4 linked regions of the Drosophila melanogaster genome follow. The protein of the gene in region 4 binds, or shares a complex with, the protein of the main gene of each other region. Each region holds a gene or a part of one and is shown on either strand. Other genes may lie near its edges. The genes, in order: eIF3h, eIF3d1, eIF3d2 and eIF3g2.

What was found.
Region 1: eIF3g2 (region 4) and eIF3h share a complex: the UniProt entries of both Drosophila melanogaster proteins name them as parts of the eukaryotic translation initiation factor 3 (eIF-3) complex.
Region 2: eIF3g2 (region 4) and eIF3d1 share a complex: the UniProt entries of both Drosophila melanogaster proteins name them as parts of the eukaryotic translation initiation factor 3 (eIF-3) complex.
Region 3: eIF3g2 (region 4) and eIF3d2 share a complex: the UniProt entries of both Drosophila melanogaster proteins name them as parts of the eukaryotic translation initiation factor 3 (eIF-3) complex.

Annotation. Positions count from the first base shown.
Region 1 is NT_033779.5:5,050,240-5,055,232, forward strand, and holds eIF3h (eukaryotic translation initiation factor 3 subunit h), read right to left. Parts: upstream 2,845-4,993; 5' UTR 2,497-2,844; coding exon 2,416-2,496; intron 2,076-2,415; coding exon 1,398-2,075; intron 1,332-1,397; coding exon 1,074-1,331; 3' UTR 954-1,073; downstream 1-953. Other genes in the region: CG9121 (uncharacterized protein), read right to left, coding at 419-638; senju, read left to right, coding at 2,845-2,929, 3,000-3,117, 3,176-4,139; CG14036 (uncharacterized protein), read right to left, coding at 4,432-4,713. UniProt on the Drosophila melanogaster protein: Component of the eukaryotic translation initiation factor 3 (eIF-3) complex, which is involved in protein synthesis of a specialized repertoire of mRNAs and, together with other initiation factors, stimulates binding of mRNA and methionyl-tRNAi to the 40S ribosome.
Region 2 is NT_033777.3:23,677,756-23,683,119, reverse strand, and holds eIF3d1 (eukaryotic translation initiation factor 3 subunit d1), read right to left. Parts: upstream 3,082-5,364; 5' UTR 2,930-3,081; coding exon 2,731-2,929; intron 2,609-2,730; coding exon 1,973-2,608; intron 1,904-1,972; coding exon 1,611-1,903; intron 1,535-1,610; coding exon 980-1,534; 3' UTR 803-979; downstream 1-802. Other genes in the region: CG16710 (uncharacterized protein), read right to left, coding at 1-350, 542-617; GILT2 (Gamma-interferon-inducible lysosomal thiol reductase 2), read right to left, coding at 3,280-3,384, 3,443-3,736, 3,862-4,026, 4,093-4,152; GILT3 (Gamma-interferon-inducible lysosomal thiol reductase 3), read right to left, coding at 4,769-4,882, 4,956-5,264. UniProt on the Drosophila melanogaster protein: mRNA cap-binding component of the eukaryotic translation initiation factor 3 (eIF-3) complex, which is involved in protein synthesis of a specialized repertoire of mRNAs and, together with other initiation factors, stimulates binding of mRNA and methionyl-tRNAi to the 40S ribosome.
Region 3 is NT_033777.3:12,191,402-12,196,644, forward strand, and holds eIF3d2 (eukaryotic translation initiation factor 3 subunit d2), read right to left. Parts: upstream 3,611-5,243; 5' UTR 3,552-3,610; coding exon 2,559-3,551; intron 2,482-2,558; coding exon 1,819-2,481; 3' UTR 1,302-1,818; downstream 1-1,301. Other genes in the region: CG43450 (uncharacterized protein), read left to right, coding at 3,940-4,086. UniProt on the Drosophila melanogaster protein: mRNA cap-binding component of the eukaryotic translation initiation factor 3 (eIF-3) complex, which is involved in protein synthesis of a specialized repertoire of mRNAs and, together with other initiation factors, stimulates binding of mRNA and methionyl-tRNAi to the 40S ribosome.
Region 4 is NT_033777.3:20,406,123-20,410,375, reverse strand, and holds eIF3g2 (eukaryotic translation initiation factor 3 subunit g2), read right to left. Parts: upstream 2,112-4,253; 5' UTR 2,050-2,111; coding exon 1,228-2,049; 3' UTR 1,133-1,227; downstream 1-1,132. Other genes in the region: Tmlh (trimethyllysine hydroxylase), read left to right, coding at 2,553-2,742, 2,802-3,706. UniProt on the Drosophila melanogaster protein: RNA-binding component of the eukaryotic translation initiation factor 3 (eIF-3) complex, which is involved in protein synthesis of a specialized repertoire of mRNAs and, together with other initiation factors, stimulates binding of mRNA and methionyl-tRNAi to the 40S ribosome.

The sequences.
Region 1 (4,993 bases), on a different chromosome or scaffold from region 4:
TACTTTTCTCTGTGCTTGCATTATGTTGGATAGACCCGAAAAGAGAAAAGAATGCACAACAAGAAATTGAGTACGTACAAAATTAACCGACTAAAATTGGATCATTCAACTTAGTGGGAGTATTAAAATTATAATAAATTCTGTATAGTATTATATATACTCCAAAAGTGAACAAACGAACTGGCACTTCATTTAAAATTTTCTTGTATCTAACTAATTCGTTTCCTGGATCCATTGATTATTATTATTATTATTTATGTTTATGTTTTACCTTTGAACAATATACATACACATTATCTAGCTTACCCACAGCATTTTTTTTTCTAATGTTCTCTATGTGTTTGTTTTTAATGCAATTAAATTTTCCGAAAGTTAGTTTCGTTTGTTTTCAGAACGAACCAGTGGAAGGAAAACTCACACTGATGAAAGACATTCAGCTCGGGCTCCTCGCAGGATTGAAGCAGCAGCTCCAACAGTTCGGCATCGCCCAGAATGGCCGCCGTGCCCACGGCAGTGCGTCCGCAAGTGGGCGATACATACGAGGCCTGGGCACCTTGCATGATGCAGCCCAGAGCCTGCTCGAAATCTCCGCTCTGTACGGCGGTTAGCAGGCGTTCGTTGAGGTCGTAGGACAGCATTTTGCCATCGGGTTAGTAATTTAGTTAGTTAGGCTAACTGAAGCTGGTTAGCGAAAAGGCGAAGCGAAAAGAACAAACCAAATGATAAGCAGCTGCTTGTGGGGTGGTGTGAAAAGTGCGTCGATGTCGTCAGTGGCAGCAACACTCCCCCGGAAAGTCTCATCGAGAAGTGAAACCAAACATCCGGCGTGCGCAGAAGCAGTACCAATTTTTGGCTGCATAGCGGGTGGTGGTTTTCTTTTTTTGGGGCGGTTTGAATTGGCCATTCTATTGAGCAAATGGAGAGTACAATAAAGAAGAAATCAGCTGGCAGTTCGCTTCCAAGCCCACTCATCGCTTGTTTGGTTTATTTTCGACGTCTGTGTGTGCAGTTGCTATGTTTGTGGGTAGTGAATGTTGTTGCCTCAGCTTAAAAAACGCTTAACATTAGCTAATCTATTTGGTTTCCTTTGCTTCCTTGGCAATTTGCAGCGATTCCGTGATGAAGAGTTTGGCCAGCGATTGCGAACAGAATTGTGCGATATGCTGGGCGTGGGTATTGATCTGGCCAGAGGTTATGGTGGCCGTCAGGCGGTTGGGCGCAGTCATGGGGCGGAACTGTTTGATCACTTCCTCCTCTGGCACCGTGGGCTCTCCCTTCGATGTGCGAACGGCGTTCTCGGCGGCCAGCTTAGCCAGAGCACGGTGCTTCTCCTAAAAAATATAAATGCAAGGAAAGCGATTAGGAATTTTTACATATTTAATTATATTGCTACGTACCGTATCCTGCTTGAAGACCACCTGCTGGTACTTGTTATAGCGCACTGCCTCCTGGTACAACTCGTCGACGCGCTCGATCAGGCTACGCATTTGGTTCTCCAATACGGTGGCGGTGCCCAGGTCCAGGAAGTTGTGCCCCTTGTCCTCGGGCAGCAGCTCGTTCAGCTCGCTCATCATAATGTTGGTCAGCGGCGAGTTCTTGATCACAATGGGAATCTCGGCGAAGAGGTTCTCGTAGCCGACCTTCAGGGTGCGGAATGCCTCTGGAGTGAAGTCGCCATCCTTGTACATCTGAATGGCCTGCGGAGTAAGGCGGTAGGCCTTCAAGCACAGGAATCCGCGGGATGACTTCTGCGTATCGTAGACGACAACGACGGACTCTTCAATGCTGGTCTGGTAGTGGTACTGCGATTCCAACAGAGCCATTGACAGGCTGTTGCCCACGTCGGAGCTCTGGTACCAGCCCACATGGAGATGATCTACGTTGACGCGACGCAGGCGACGCATCACGGTCAGCTGGTACATCTCCTCGTCCATGGTCTCATCGCCGCTCTTGGGAAACGGGAAGCAGTTGGTGATCTCCAGGCACTTGTCTACCACCAGACCGAGCAGGGCGCCCTGGGCGAGGTCCATGTTGCTCGACTCCTCATGGCAGTGCTTCACCATCTTCATGACGGCCTGCAAGGTAAAGTGATCGTAGTAATTATGTTCCAAAATCAATTAGCGACAGACAACTATTTGCATTTGAACAGGGGCGTGGAAAGTAGATATATTTCGGACTTTCTTTTAATAGTTTCTCTGAAGAAAACATTTGACTGAAGTTTTTTGTGCTATGGTAATGAAGAGACCGGCCCCCTTTTCCTTATAGCTCTACGCCCATGTCCTCACGAACACCCATACAAACACACACAAAGCACGCAAATTTCTGAGACAGCGCGTGGCATTAACTTTTCCGGCTTTCGCGCCGGTTCCCACGGGCCAATCTCGGCCAGGTCTTTTGGCCAACAGCACTACTCACCAGTCCGTCGCATTGGACGTAGTTAATGGTATTATCCGAATCCTCGGTGCGAGCAGCATGACGATTTGCGCGATTTGCCATGTTGACGAATTGTAAGCGAAAAGACCCACGACGTGAACTCGGCTGCAGTGGTAAAAGGGCGTTTCGCAACACCACAATTTTTGTGTGGGTTGAAGTGTTGAAAAGCGTGCACTGCTTTAAAATCAGCTGTTCGGGCGAGCGATAAAAAAAGGCCCAAAATATATTTTGTTTATCAGTGGAAAAGCAACAGAAACAAACTCAAAATTGTACTTCCTAGAAAACCGAGAAACGGCCCACTTGTCACGAACGAGCGGAACGGTACTGATAACTGCGGTTGCCGCAACTTGTAGCTAGTCTTAGTTCTCTTCGCATTAGCAACGCAACGCTGGCAGTACGAAGACCGCAGAAATGTCAACTAATTGGCGTGAATTGTTCCCCACCAAGCTCACATTTGTGATCTTCCTGTTGTACATGTCCCTATTCATAGGACAGGGTATGCAGCTGCCTTATTAAGGCTTTTTACGCAAGCCAAAGCCGCACCCTAATTCCTGTCTATTTTGCAGGCATCTTTGTCACAGCATCTCAGGAATCGAATAACTCCTATGGCTACAATACCGTCACGGTTGTGCTGCTAACCGAGGTCTTTAAATTGATAGTCTCCACCTGTCTGTATTGCCGAGAGTGAGTAGGAGTGGAGGCGCTCCTTTGTCTCGCTATTAAACCGCGATTTCATTCACAGCAACAACCTACGCTCCCTGGTGCGCGATGTTCAGAAGGATCGGAATGTATTGGGCTTGTACATGGTGCCCGCCTTTCTCTACTGCCTGTACAACAATTTGGCCTTTGTCAACTTGGCCACATTCGATCCCACCACCTACTATCTGCTACTGCAGCTACGTGTCGTTGTCACGGGCATACTATTCCAAATTATCTTCAAGAAGTACCTGTCGCAAAGGCAATGGATCTCCCTCATACTGCTGACACTCGGCTGTATGATGAAGCAGGTCGATTTCGGCAGCTTCTACAGCGATGCGAATGATGACAGCGAGTCCGCAGCCATACAGCAGCAGCTGCAATCACATAATAAAACAACTTCTGCAGAGACGCACGCTCACGGCAAGAACATGTCCGGCTTCGATTTTAGCCTGAGTGCCGTCTTCATTCTGGCACAGACAATTTGCTCTTGTCTGGCGGGCGTTTACAATGAGTATCTGCTTAAAGATAAGGGAGCCGATGTGAATATCTTTGTACAGAATGTCTTCATGTACCTGGACTCGATTGTCTGCAATGCAGTCATCCTCTTGCTGCGCGGCGAGCTCCTTGATGCCTTTAGTCCGCAGAATCTGGGCAGTATTATGCGCTTTAGCGTGCTAATCATTATTGTTAACAATGCGGCTATTGGCATTGTCACGAGTTTCTTCCTCAAGTACATGAACTCCATTCTAAAGACCTTCGCGAGCGCTCTGGAGTTGCTCTTCACGGCAGTCCTATGCTACTTCCTCTTCTCCATACCCATTTACATGAACACCGCGCTGGCCATCGCGGTTGTATCCTACGCCATCTATCTCTACACCCAAAGCCCGGTGGTTAATTTGGGCAAGGTGCGTCCGCTGTCCAATTTAAGTGATGCCACGACCAAATCAACGGATAAACGAAAGCTGATCGACGAGGAAGCGGCAGAATCGGACCTCGATATGGTGTAATGCTGTAGCTTGTCCTAGACGTAATCTTAGACTGTAAATAGTTGTGGAAAAGTGCCTGCAAATGTTTTAAACGCCAGACGAATGTATTTGACCCCAGGCTTTGTGCAATGCAATAGCAACAGGCTTGTAAATACCAAAACTTTTGCTCCTCTAGTTTAAGATTCTTATTTTAATCAGAACATAAATGCAATCAAACGAATATTGTGCATGCTTCTTCAAGAAGCTTTTTATTTTATGGTTCATATACTATCACATATGTACATGGTATATTTGGATGCCTGCTTGTCTTAGCCTAAAATGGTGTGTCCACATCATGTCCATCTTCCTGTTTGGGCGGTATGCGACTACGAAGCGCTATCTGCACCGCCTGGTTTTCGATGCTGCGGAGATAGTAGTCACACTCCTTCAGATGCTTCTCCATGTCCTGGACTCGGTGTGTGGCGTTGTACTTGCAGGTCTGCAGCGGCGGTCCACAGTAGTTCTTCTCGCACTTAATTAAGTGCTTGGGCATCCGGAAGAGCAAGATGCGGTGCGATTTGTCGTAAGGGCAAATTCCGTACTCGAAATCGGACATTTTGAAAAAGTCAAGAGCCGTTTGTCAAAACAACAAATTCATAAAGCTTAAGGTACCGCTATGTTTTAAAGTTTTAGTTATCGGTTGTGTTATCGGAAGTAAGGAATTTTCGATTTATTTATTTTTCAAACCAGCTGTCAAGATATTGACCTTATACGGAATACCCCCGATGAATATAGGGTCACACTGAGCAGACGCGCGTAAACCACCCCGTCCCTCCCTTTTACTTTTCATTCAGCTTGAAAATTTCATAGAGTTCGGTCAATTGTCAAATCTGCTC
Region 2 (5,364 bases), 3.3 Mb from region 4:
AGCGCACCTGGACACGAGTCTTTCATTCCACACCGAACGGCTGCGATGCGCATATAGAATCAGGGCCATCCAAGGCAACTCGTTGGGTTGCGTCTCCTCTCCTCCGAAAATTCGATAAGCCGGCATGATTGGTCCACATATCTGGGTATTTGGCAAAATGTGTCCCATATTTGGGCAGCAGATGAGAACTCTGTCCAATAATTCCTGCCCCTTGGGGCCATAGCCGCAATATCTGTCCTCGAATACCGCCTTCTCGGCTGGCGTCATGTTGTGGGGCTTCAGAAAGGGCAAGAGTGATGTGCAGCGGGCTAGACTAATGCATTTCTCATCCAGATTACAAGGCGGATATTCTGATACAGTAAAGAATTGGATATTAATAAATATTATATTATGTGAGTCATTTTAATTGGATGTTTAGATAATGATTGGACGAAACAAAGCTATTTATATTTTAAAATTCAAGGAAATACCCATATCCAAATGAATCATTTTCTTGAATGTTATAACGTATACAATGTGGAGTACTTGCAACATATATTACCAGACTCAGCCAGGTACATCAGCAATTGAGTATGCAGGACCAGGAAGGATATGTACACTCTTTGTAGGAAGACCATCTTTAACCGTCAGAGTTTAAACAATGTCTAAATCTTAACTAGATGCCCGACACGCACAATCAGCTTACTATATATGAGTCCGGGAAATGAGTCAGTCATTTACGTACAAGACCTCGGTGTTTCAGTCGAAAGTTTTTATCACAAGTACCCGGCATTAGACCTGGACCAATAAAAATTCATGTATTGTTTCGCCCTCTGTGATTTACTAGGAAATATCTGAATTTAAATCGAATACAAATGCTTAAGCTAGGGCCTATAACATGACCTTTTCCTTTAGAGGACATCAGTTGTGGTTATTCTTAGCGGGTTGTGGCAAAAGAGCCCAAGACTGGAAGGGATGCAGGAGTAGGGGGGCGTGGCGTCTAAATCTTGTTGTGCGCGTAGTTGTAGACCTGCTGGAAACCTTCGTCATCGCCCTCGCCATCGTCCGAGTCATCGGAGTCGAAAGTATTGTCTGGGATGTCGTACAGACGGATGATCGGCTTGTTGGGGTCCTTCATGATCAGGTATTTGCCATCCTTCTGCTTCATCACCAGATCGATGATGCATCTCAGGATTCCCCAGGCGTTGTCCATGCTCAGGTTGATCTGAGTGGCAAATTCATGCGGCTTGAACTGCTGCGTGCCGAGGATGACGTGACGCGAGTGATCTCTCGGATTGATACGCGACACATAGCCGAGCTTTAGCTGATCGGACCCGGCCAGGACGGCCTGCACAGTCCACTTGGCCAGCTTGCATGCGTTGTTCCTCAGCTCGTTGGCGAGCACAGCACCGCGCTGCGTGTCCAACTTTTGACGCCATTCCACGCCATTGGCCAACTTCGAGTCCCACTCGTTGAGTGCCTTGATAGTCATGAACTGCGGCTCGCCGCTTGGCGTCTGCAGGACACCATCGTGCTCGCAACGCGCTACCAGGACCTAAAAGTATAAGACAATAGTTTAACATAATATAGAAAAATATTCCAACTTTAAAGTTGGATTATGCAACACTTACAATATCGCTTCCCAGCTCCCACTTCTTGTAGCGGTAGCCCACGCTGGCGACTTGGATATCTTCGTCCTCGCTGATGAAAGGGTTGCTTTCCTCGAACTTGTATTTGGGTTCCTGGTCTCCAGTCTTAAGCACCTGCTGGCTAAAGTTGTGGTTAATGAAAGTCGCCTCGATGGCCAGGTTGCGAGGGGAGTTGCATGAGCTGTCGTCGTCGGTCGGTGGTTCCACGCTGCTCTCGTTCACGGTCAACAGATCGAACTCGGTGTGGTCACGCTTGTCCATGAACACCTTGTCGCCTAAAATAAGGTTACAATTATTATTTATTTCTCTTATTATTATTATATTTCGTATTTCATTTAACATACCAACTTTCTCGATGACAATATCCCAGGAATAGTTCGATCGCGTAGAGCACATGATGGTGGCCAGGATGGCGTCCGTGGCGAAGACATTGCCGACGGTCTTAGACAAACGCCGGATGACGGGATCGTCTGTGGTGGTCACCGTATGCACGATGCGATCGATCTTCTGCAGCGGCTTCTCGTTCTTCACATTGATGCGGTCGTAGGTCTTGTCGTAGTACTCCAACGTGCCGCAGGTGACAATATCGACGCCCTCCTTGATGTTGGGCAGCGACAGCTTGATGAGTCGCGGGAAGTCCATCTCCTCGATGGATGCCCAATCGGCGCGGACGGCCACCGAAGATTCGCGCATCTTTGGTGGTGGTCCGCGATGACCGAACTTCTTGCCCATGCCGCGACCATGGCGCGGATCGCGGGCCTTTACATTCTTGCCGCTGAGCGTCGTCATGCCGTGAGTATTAAGGCCACCGCGGGCATTCCTGCCACGACCGGAACGCGAATTCCTCATGTTGCGGAACCGGCCGCGCTGGTGCGGCGGCTTCTGGACGCGGGCCGTGTCCACCAGGTGGAAGGTTGTCTCGTCCTCCTCATGGTAGTACGAGTACTGAATGCCCGTGCCAAAGCTGGAGGCATACTTGTCTGCGAATGGAATACCAACCACCAATATGTTAGCAACAATATCATGCCACGACACACCTACCTAACCTCACTTTCGGCGATTAGTATTTTGTGGGTCGGTTTCGGGTGGGGAATAAACTCACTCTGGTACTTCTTGTCGTTGTTCGACGTATTCGTCCAGTCGCAGATCTTGCCCAGACGATCGTTCTTGCTGAACGGCTGGTACGGCACATCCTTGAACGTATCGGGCAGCTCGCAGGGACCCCAGCCCTTTTCATTGAACTGCACGGTCGGCTTCTCGAAGCTCGGGAACTGAGCCGCGGTGTTTATGGTCTCGCTCATCTCGCGCGTTTACCTGGTGCTCAGTCTGCAGTCGGCTATTCGGTCTATATACAGCGATTTTCCAGAAATCAACAAAGAAATGTGGAAAATTCGTATCGTCGCGTGTTGCGAAAATAGTTGAGTGGGACCGTTGTCGCGTTGAAATATACCACCGCCAAAGAAAAATACTAAAATCGTAGCGAATGTTCAAAGGTCTGGCAGCATGCTGTCATAGATGGCGCCACTGCTGGGCGGGAAAACTAAAAATTCGAACTATTCATTTTTCAGAACCTGATTTTACGATTTAATTACAAAGAAAATGCAAAAAATATTTTTTAATAAAAAAATGTATTGTTAAATGAACACAATATTTATTGACAATTATTTAGCTGCTTATTGAACTTTTCCTTATACTTGGCGCAAAAAATGGCATCAAAATGATCAGTTAAGTTTGCTGATAGATCCGCGTTATAAACCTTAAAATCACAAAGTTTTATTTTAGATTTCATGAATTTCTTTCGCATTTAAACTCACGTTATCCAGAGCTACGGCTGGCACTCCCTGAAATGAGACCTTGGCCGTTTCCTTGCCGTACTTCCTCAGAATGTCGTTCACCTGTCGCGTTTTCTTGCAATTTTTGACATCGCCCACGTCGATTTGATAGTGGTCAGCGCACTTTTCCAGCCTGTTCTTCTTACCCCTCATCATGCAGGCGATCAGCTTGAGGGATTGGGCAATGTCATGGTGCTCCAGTATGCAGGCGTGCCACGCGTTCAATTCGCACTCCATCACTCCGTGCTGGCACTCCACATTTCCGTCATCGTTCGTCTGGAGGGGATTAAGCGAAGTTTAAGTGCGGATTAACGCTGATTGACACTCTAAAACTTCAAATTGAGCTATACTATGTACTTGTACTATAACTACTAGTTTAAGCTACGAAAAATGAAACCTACCCTGGCATTTCCATAAGGAACCAGCGTAAGATCAGTGAATGGAAGTCGATCCTGACGGACCATCGAGGGATTGAGCTGCGTGGTCACGAACTCCATGCAGTAGGGACACAATGCTTCGTAGTACAGGGTGATCGCCAGTCGGTCAGCTTGCGGTCCGCGCAAACGCTGCAAAGTCACGATCAATGGGAGCGTCGCAATTCGGGATTCAGTCCGATCAACTGGGTCACTTACCCTTGGCGTGGCCACGCCCACCCATCCCAGCAGCAGACACACAAAGACAGCCGCCCTCATGGCAAATTCAGTTTAATCCCGAGCTGATCTTGAAATATTCGGCCGCTCAACGCCAGCGAACGCTCGACACTGAAATAATTCCGGGACTTGTAATGCGCAGCGTTGTCACTGCGTTTCGTCAAATTCGAAGCGGCCAGTGGCGTGGTTAGAAAATGCTCAAGGGGGGCTCAAAAATCATATAAGTTAAAAAAAAAATAATTATTTGTATTGCAATAGTAGGGTGACTTTTCGCTTGTTTTTTATAATTTTTCTGTAATATATCCGCTTTTGAAAAAATTAATATAAATATATAGATAAAGGGTGTGACTAGCCAACCAATTCGACGCCCCTGCTGTCAACCAGCATTTTCCCCTTTACATTTATGCGCTGACTACGGAAAACTTACTGAGCAGCGGGGTTTTAATCTTATTTTTAGACCACCAGACAGCTGTTTCTGATTAGAATCTGTATACAAAAACATGACTGATAAGCTGATATGTATATACTATACACATGTAAATTTTTATTGGCCCCAAGTGAGTCAGCGAGTAAGCAAACACTCCAGTTGGTTATAATTATTGTTTATTGGTCTTGGAACATTGAAACAGTTAAATTACTCAGTACATTACATAAAAGTTTACAAAATTGCGGAACAAGTGGGCAGTTTGATGTTGAACTTTTTCAGATACTGCCGACAGAAGTGTCTTTCGAAGTTGTTGCGAATGCTTCTCTGGTCGTAAGGATCAAAGTCCTGCGGATCAGAGGGTAATGTTAAGTTAAGTCTGGTATTTGATCATGTAAGCCTGGTTGGGTTGGTTACTCACATTCTCGAACACAATGGTGGGCACAAAGGAGATGCCCAGTTTAAGGGTTTCCTTGCCGTAGGGCGCCAGTATTTCTGCCGTGGTTCGGGATGCCTTACACTCCCTGGCCTTGCTGACGTCCACACCCATGCTCCTCGAGCACGGGCCCAGCTCATTCGAATAGGAGCGCAGCATGCAGTAGATCAGATTGAAGGCCTTCCGAATGTCCAGGGTCTCAATAATGCAGGCATGGAGTGCATTTAGTTCGCACTCATCCACGCCATGCTGACAAAATACTTGGCTCTCGCCAGTGGATGTGTTGTTGTAGAACTGCACGTAACAAATTCTGGTTTAAAACCTCAAAAAACATGAACTATTTCACGATCTACAAACAAATTGTGTGTGTGTATTTCAGTTTATTGCTGTTTTT
Region 3 (5,243 bases), 8.2 Mb from region 4:
CAGACGGCTTCCGAGGCTCCAGCTACCATAACCCCATTTCAGCGAAAAAAGCGAGTGAGGCAAATTGAAATGAAATTGAATTTAGTTGGAGGTCGCAGGAGCTGAAAAAGTTGACGCGGGTGTGGCAGTTTTATTTACAACTATTCCTCATGTGATGTGATGCTGGGAAAATGCAAAAGAGTTTAATTTGCAATTTGTCGCCCTCATTCAACGCTTAACTTTTCACTCGGGCGGTGTTTGTGGTTGCATATGCAAATGCCTTGGCCATCTAAACCCATACCTCAGCCCACTAACCCACACCCTGTGTTCTGGGCTCTCCGGTCTGTGTTCTCCGTTACCCCGGAATGGCCCGCAGCCCTGCATATGCGATAAAATGTACAAAGTTTTGCGTTAAGGCCCCACTTGAGTTGGGCTAGGAGTTGTTGCCGCTGGCAAGTGCCCTGGCCAACCCGGCCTGCCAGTTTGTTAAACGCCTTTCAACGGCGTGGTTAGCCAAGCGCAGACCTTGAAATGCCACGCCAGTCCTGGCCAGAAGCCGAAGCTACAACTGCAGCTACAGCTAAGGCTAAAGCTGGTAGCTAAAGCCGGTAGTTGCCAGCTGGTAGTCGGTAGTCTGTACTCCGTAGTTGGTGGTACATGGTAGCTGAAGCCACTCGAGCAGCTAACCAGCCGGAGCCAACTTTTCTGCGGCAAACGCTTTAAAAAACCAGTCCGCAATAGTCATTTCGTAAGTTGGTCCTGCAGGCACACACACAGGCACACATGTTGATTTAGCAAACAAAATGTTTTAATTGAATAACACTTTGGTGTTTCACTGCTGCTTACTGGCAAGATCAAGTGCCTTTCCGGCCAACTGTGCGTATACTTGATGTGCACACATATACATATGTATGTGCTGCATTGTGAATCTGTGCACTGCCACATAATGGACCGACTTTATCAATCAAATTTGCCGCAGGCAGGGAATTAAAATTAATCGGTTTCAATTTTCATTTGCGTAAATTCCCTAAATATTTTCACACACTTATTTCACACCCAGGCATCATCATTTGCTCATCCTGTCTGGGGAAGAAAGGGAGTGCAAGCCTATCCATGCAAATTGAATAGGTCTAAATTCAATTTGGCGCTGAACAAAAAGAAATTGGCGGACGGAGAAACAAAAACAAAAATGCGCAAAACATTTTGGTAATTTAGTTGAGCGATTTGCATTTCCGTTGGGGAATAATTTCTGCACTTTTGTGCTCACTGACTGCCCAAATTGAATTGCCAAATAACAAAAAAGGCAGGATGCATATGAAATTCGAGCACATATATGAATTTAATTAAATGCTGTTGAATACGAAAACATTTTGCTTAAATTGTCGCACGCCAAGCACCACAGCAGCATCAGAATTTGCATTGATTGATGCCGTGTTCGGTGATTTATTGATCCTGAGGTTTGTCACCCAAACAGCCCTTCACCCATTTCAGCCCCAGTTCCACTCCCCCGCAATTATTGTGATTGTCAGTCGGTAATGGCGGGGGATGTTCTGCACAATGCATATTTATTTAGCCGGGTTTCATTTTGTATTTCTTGGAACCGCAGTGATTGATGTGGCCATGTTATCCTCAAAATAACTGTGACTGCACCCGGTCACCCGGTCCGTTGTTCACTGACATGTCAAGTGATGGCTCCGTTCATATGTTGTGTTTGGTCAAAAACTCAATTTAAATTGCATTTGTGTTCACTGCGCATCTGTCAGCATGTGTCGGCTTGTCTCGTCCGTCGACGGATCCCCTTGTTCGGAGAACTATTAGTTGAATAAATTCGTGAGGGCGTTAGTTATCGTTGGAGTTACTCAAGGGATCGCTGGACTCCTCCTCCTCATCGCCGTCGGAGTCGAAGGCGTTTTCCGGAACGTCATACAGACGGATCATCGGCTTGTTGGGATCCTTCATGATCAGATACTTTCCATCCGGTTGCCTCATCACAAGGTCAATTAGGCAACGCAATACTCCCCAGGCATTGTCCATGTTCAGGTTGATTTGGGTGGCGAACTCCTGCGGCTTGAATTGCTGTGTGCCAAGGATCACGTGACGCAGGTGATCACGCGGATTCATCCTGGACACATAGCCTAACTTCAGTTGATCGGAACCAGCCAGCACAGCCTCAACGGTCCATCGAGCTAGCTTACAAGCATTGTTGCGCAACTCGGAGGCCAAGACTGCACCGCGCTGGGTGTCCAACTTCTGGCGCCACTCCACACTGTTGGTCACCTTGGAGTCCCATTCATTCAGCGCCTTGATCGAGAGGAACTGCACGTCCCCATTGGGTCCTTGGATAACCCCATTGTGCTTGCAGCGAGCAATCAGCACCACATCGTTGCCCAGATCCCACTGACGGTAGCGATAGCCAATGGAGGCAAGATCCACGCCTGGCTCCTCGAACGGATTGGGCTCCTCAAACATGAAACGTGGCTCTTGGTCGCCAATGCGAAGAACCTTTTAAAAATAAATAACATAAGATTTAAAAACGTACAATAACAAATAACATAAATTGAAACCTACTGTAAACCTACCTGCTGGCTAAAGTTGTGATTAATTAGAGTGGCCTCCATTGCCAAGCTATGTGCCGAATTGATGGAACCCTCCTCATCCATCGGAGGTTCTACTGAAGTCTCGTTGACAGTCAGCAAATCAAATTGATCATTATATCTCTTATCTAAGAACACCTTAGTGCCCAATTTCTCGACTACCACATCCCAAGAGTAATTGGAGCGTGTGCAGCACATTATGGTGGACAAGATTTCGTCGGTGGCAAAGACATTGCCCATGGTCCTCGAAAGACGACGAATAACCGGATCATCCGTGGTCGTCACGGTGTGCACAACACGATCCATCTTTTGCAATGGTTTTTCATTGCGTAAGTTGACTCGATCGTATAACTTATCATAAAATTCCAGCCATCCGCAGGTGGCAATGTCCTTACCATCTTTAATATTGGGAAGTGCCAGCTTGAGAAGGCGTGGAAAATCAATCTCCTCGATCGAAACCCAATCCGATTGCACCATCACTGAGCTCTCGCGGATTCTGGTGGGAGCATTGCGACCGAATCTGCGACCCATATTCTGCGTGTTGCGTGTATTGCGACCCTTTCCGTACTTGGTGGTACTGGCAGTTGCGCCTCCAGCCGTGGATCCCCCGAGACTTGCTATATTCGGAGTGCCACGCCCCGTGCGACCCCTGCTCCTCACATTGTTGCGCATATTGGGTCTATAGCGTCCCCGCTGATAGGGCTTGGTGGCCTTCGATCCAGTGGTGTCCACCAAATGGAAGGTGGAGTCATCGTCCTCGTAGAAGTATGCGTACTGACTGTTGTTGCCAAAGGTCGAGGCGTATTTACTGGGGAACTTCTTCTCGGGCACCATCGCAGTCCAGTCGCAGATCTTGCCCAGGCGATCACTTTTGCAGAACGGCTGGTAGGGCACATCCAATTCGGGTACCTCGCAAGGACCCCAGCCGTGCTCGTTGTACTCCACATAGGGCTTGATAAAGGGTGCGTAGTTGGACATAATCACGCCGAAAGATGTTTAAATAACCAAGAGCAAGTATTTACATTTATGTGATCCGGTTTTGTCGAGGTACAAATTACACTGAGCTGATTTCGTATGGCCGGCTTGACAGCTTGGGAAAATTTTCCAAGCCCTACGTTTGGATAATGTTATAATATGAAAAAGGCGGTTTTATCCATTAAGGAAATAACCGAATATCCAATCTTTAAATAATTTTTGATAGACAACTAAAAAGATTTCTTCAAAAGCCTATAGTAAGTAGATTGAAGCCTATTGTGAGAAATCAAAAGATACCAATTCCTCACAATAAAAGCTCAGTCTTATTTGTATTTCTAGTCACACCGAAACCCTATAAACTACACAAAGTGAGAAGTAAGACGTTTGGAGAATGAATCTTAGGAGGACGCCCTGCCCCCAATTAAACACCACCGCAACCACAATGAAGAAATGTGTAATTGCCTGTTCGTCTTTCGGTTCTCCGTCAACGTCGTGCTGCTCTCATTGGCCACGATTATTCTCATCCTCCGCATGGTGAGCTGATCCAGGATGGGCGCGGGGATCCCCTTCCAGCCGACAAATTCTTGTTTCTTATTATCTTTTATAAAAAACCCTCACTAAGCGCACAAATAAATGTTTGTTGAGCTGTGGAAATGGTACAGGAAGCGGGGTACTGTGACGGGATTATCACTTGACGACGCATCTAAGCTCACATCGACATGACTCCATTCATATGACTCCAACTCCAGCACCATTGTTCTGACCCAAGTATCAGGAAAGCAAAGGAACAACAGCGGAGTGCACTACAATGGGACGAGTGTCCTGTGTGCTGGATCTGGTCAACTTGGCTCAGTCCTCACTGTGTTCCGGTTCGGTTTCCTTATTCTTGGCTGGGAGCACCTTACAACAATCTCGTTAAGCGTAAAGGCCAAATTATAGTAAAACTAACAGAAGGCAAAAGGTAATCACATAAAAAGCTTGTTAGATAACAACGTGTGAGGCGGCGAAAAAGGAAGCGGACATCCTGCACTCCGGCTCATACCCAAAAAGCAACATGTCGAGCGTGTGAATGTGCCTGAATGTGTGGAAAATGATATGGGTGCGAGCGGGATGACAGTGGGAGTGCGGTGCCTCCGCCCCTCTTCCAGCACCCAGATCCTGAGCTAAGCTTTGTCAAGCGACAGGGTGTCATGTTGATGTGTATGTCACTGGCAGCTGCTGCTTACATGGCCCGGCTCCAGATTCCCTCGCACTTCTCTGTTGATACACTGCGAGAATATGAAGAGATAATGTCAAATGTAAGAATAGAAGACCAAGAATGCATACCAAGAATATAATAATGGGTTCTGTGGAGCAATAACAATGGGAACTTATTTTGACTGAAATAATTCCTATTTTACCATTGAATTGATTTCAGTGTAGCCATAAGCCGTGGATGAGTGTGCGTCTGAGTGAGTGTATGTGTGTGTGGATTATAATTGCCATGCGGCTGTCAGTGACTGCAGGCGGCGCCTAACTGCACACAGCTGCAGATGTGCGGCTCGTGTTGCAATATCATTTTTAATGCAAACCGCATGCCACATTATGCAGCTGCATTGCCACGTCACCGCTGCGGTTTCTCCATCCCCATCCGCCTTCCGCTTTCCAACCTCCGGATTTACCCTCTCATCTCCAGCTCATCTGCAATCGCTCCTG
Region 4 (4,253 bases):
AATTAAAAAGTTGAATAGGAACATGGATTCTTTTAAAAAAGTTTGTAAATATCCGTTATTGGAATGAGTTTGCTTACTTTAAATACCACTTTAACTCCAACTACTGGGTATTTCTTATTTAACATTTGACTTTTAATCTTCTGTTTGTTTTTCTCTGGAAGAGTGAGTGAGTGTGCGTGCGGTGAGCGCACATGACCTGAAGGTGCAAACTGAAAAAGAAATGCGTGGCCGAGGGCGTTCTCCTTACCAGGGCGCCTCATACCCCCAACTACCCCCCCCCCCCCCCACAATGCTAACTAACCTGTCAAGCCGCCCACCTGGCCACCCATTCATTCGCCTTCCACCTATTCATTCTGCCGCTCAAACAAAGGCCGGGGACGAACGAATGAGCGCGCCGCAGAAAAAGTTAATTTATAAATTATTCAGTAATTTGTTTTAGACTCTGCTTTAGCTGCTACCCATCCCATACCACCGCAACAGCAACAACAATGGAAATAAATTTCTTTTGTGCCTGGCTTTGATCCGCCCCTCATTCAAAATGTGTATCTAAGCCGGGACTTTCCCGCGAACACTATCCACCGACCACTCATTCCCGGTTCAACGTCATGGTCGCGTAGTTGGCGTCCCGTTCTGAGGGGCTCCGCTCCAAGTATCGTGCGCATAAGTCCGCTCTTATATTTAATTATTAATGTTCATTCGGTCCGGCCAGCGTCTTGTGGCATTTCTCAGCTCTTGCCGGGAACGCCGTGCCATCATCATCCGGCACCACGTTGGCTTCCATTTAAGTGGCTTTCACCTTTGTACGGCTGCGGAGCACGGCGAAAAAATCGCATTTAAAACGGAGCATTATCGGCTTTAGTTCGCTCAAGGCGAGCTTTCTCTTTTATGCACTTAAAAAAAGCATCCACCTTGGATGTCCAAGGGTATATCAACTCGAAAATTGAGTGGTCCCAAATGAACCAGACTGTTTTTAACAATTTTCATATCTATCTCAATTCATATCCTTTGCTCAACTGAAAGATGAAAAAATCTACTACGAAACATTAATAAATAGATTTTATATTATTATTAATATATTCTCTGTAATTATCGAATGTGTGCAAATTAAAAATAAAAGTGGTCGCATATTTTGCAGGGTGTACCAGAATTTTATTTTGATTTCACTGCCACCGCAGCTCATTTCCGTTCTCGAATAAGCAGAGAAGCGAATACACAAGGCTATAGCCATTACGGCTGAGGCTTGGACCACTCGACGCAGAGGATCAAGTGGTCGTAGCCGTGGCCATTAAGAACCTCAATGGCGGCAGCTGCATCCTGGCGGAACTTGAAGTGCACGTAGGCGAATCCCTTGCAGAGGCCGCTGTTTTTTTCGCGCGCCAAATACATCTTGGTGTGTGGTCCGATTTTCTTTACCAGCTCCTCGAGATCAGTCTCGGTCATGGATTCGGATAGGTTTGAGATGCGAACTGCCGACGAATCGTCCCGATCCCGACCCCGTCCCCAATTTTTGCTGCCAGATATGCCTCCGCCGTCCTTCATGAAGGGTGGTACATATTTTCCGGTCTTGCTGGGATCACTTATAGCGGCAGCTGCAGCGGCATTGGCCTTGGTTTCCATCACGGTTTTGCTATCCATCGAGGTGCCCTTGTAGGGACAATTGACACTCCAGTGTTCGCCATTGCAAATGCGGCACTTGGCGATGTTCTTGCCGGGATCAAGTTGGGTTTCGTGGGTCTGGTCGAAATCTTTGGAGCCGATGAATTGCATAAAGATCTCCTCGGAGGCCATTGTCGTCTGGGAATTGGGTCCGGGCTTGTCCGATCGCGAATCCCCAAACTTAACCCAGTTGCGACGACGAGCCACAGCCTTCGGAACAATCTGCTTCTCGATCTTGAAGGTTCGCACCACTTTCACCTTCTTGCCATCATCGTTGAACTTATACTCCGTCACGTACTTGAAGTCGCCCTTAATGTACTCATTAGAAGGCGGCAGTCCATCCACATAGTCCGCATCCACCTCATCGGCCCAGGAAGTAACGAAAGTCTTCATTTTTTATGATTTCCCACACAACCGGTACAAAATGAATTAAAAACTTAGAGATCTCTAGTTTTAGAGAGAGTTTTTCCATTTGAATTTTACTTGGCCTGTTGAGATGGGAAAAAATCCCTTTCAATAAAAGATATTTGAAATTAATATTTATATTTTCTTTAAAGTAATGATTTTTTAATAAAAAATACAACAACTTGAGTAGCAATTCACTAAGATAACTTTGCAACAAAAACATACCATTCAATCAATCTTGATTAAATTATAAATTTTTTTACTTTCATGAGTTGTTCTTAATAATTACATATTGTCTTTAAATTCAATAAATTTATTAATCTTATAGTTATTCCGTAAACAAATAAGTTCTTATCTCTGACTTGAGCATGAAAGTAATCGCTCTCCTACTGATAACAGTACAATTAAAACCGAGCTGAAACTTAATCAAACTTTGAGCTGTTAGTTCACTTTCACTGCTCTAGTCCGTCGGTTGTTCTATTGGCATTAACATGTTGCTTTTGAAGCACCCGAAAACCAGCCAATCAATAGAAATCAATGAGTTTTGGCTCCGTGATCATTGTCGATGTGTGGAGTGTCTAAATTTCGAAACAAATCAGAGGCGATACGATGTCTTAGATCTACCAGCTGATATAATGCCACTAGATGTCAAATACGACGGGATGAATCTACAAGTGCAGTGTAAGAAAAAATTGATGTAAAATGCACCTAGCTTCGATTTTATTGGCCTGCCATTTTAGGGAGTGATGCTCACAAGTCGAACTATGACCTGGACTTTATCTTCGACTCACAGCTGGAGAGGTTGATAGGTCGGCGATCAAAGTCCACTAATCTGACACCATGGAATCGTAGCATTATCTTGCAAAACGAACGGCACTTACGATTCCCATTGCCCCAGCTGGTTTCCAGTGATAACGAAGTCAGATCCCTGGTTGAATCTCTGGTGCGTTATGGCATTGTCTTTATCGATGATGTGGCTCCCACCGCGAATATGACAGAATTGGCTCTGCGACGAGTTTTCCCCCTTATGAAAACGTTCTTTGGCGAAATGTGGACTTTTAGCGATAACCCCGATCACGCGGACACCGCTTATACCAAACTTTACCTGGGTTCCCATACGGATAATACCTATTTCTGCGATGCAGCCGGACTACAGGCTCTACATTGCATTGAGCACTCGGGATCGGGTGGCGAAAATTTCTTTGTTGATGGTCTGCATGTGGTTCACGAACTGAAACGCCGGTATCCCGCCGCTTATGATGTACTGTGCAGTGTCCAAGTTCCTGGAGAGTACATCGAAAAAGGGGAGCACCACTACCACACTGCCCCCATTATACAGGTGGATCCACTGACTCAGGAATTTGTTCAACTCAGACTAAATGTATATGATCGCGCCGTGTTTAATACCATCCCTCAAGCCGAAATGGCCGAGTTCTATGACAGTCTTCGCCAGCTTTTGCTAATCGTCAGGGATAAGCAACAGCAGTGGGCTCTCAAGCTATGTCCCGGCAGCATTGTTCTTTTCGATAACTGGAGAGTGCTCCATGGTCGAGAGGCATACACAGGAAGTCGTACCATGTCCGGTTCCTATGTGCAGCGCACAGATTTTCTCAGCAAGGCTCGAGTGCTGGGAATTATTGACTGAAAGCTTATTGAAAAATACCTAATGTATACCGAATTAAAACCTTTTATGAACTAAGAAATTATGATTTATTTTCTATACTTTCTAGTGCTCCGCATATTCCTTCAGCAATCATTTATGTATTATATGGTCCGTACCGACTTTTATACTTTTTGCAATGGGAAAGTTTCATGCGGATAACTTTAACACTGAGAGATTATTTTGTGGATAGAAGAACATTTAACATTGATCAATAATATATATACTTTACATGTTCGTAGCTGACTCCTTCACTTCGATGCAAGATACTGGCTTAAATCAACATCCTTTCTGCATATATATAAGTTTGCTTTTGATTGCTCAAATAAGAACATATTTTAAATTCGGTTCATATATCAGGAATAGCATACATTGTTAAAGAATCGTTGCGTATAGAAAAAAACACGCAAATTGTTCAAGCATATTTTTCTTTTTTCTGAACCGAGTCCCACTCCAATTCAATTTCGATTGCAAATGCTAACGTATCATAATAAAAAGTTACGATTACAATTGCTGGCCAGCGTCTAATTTT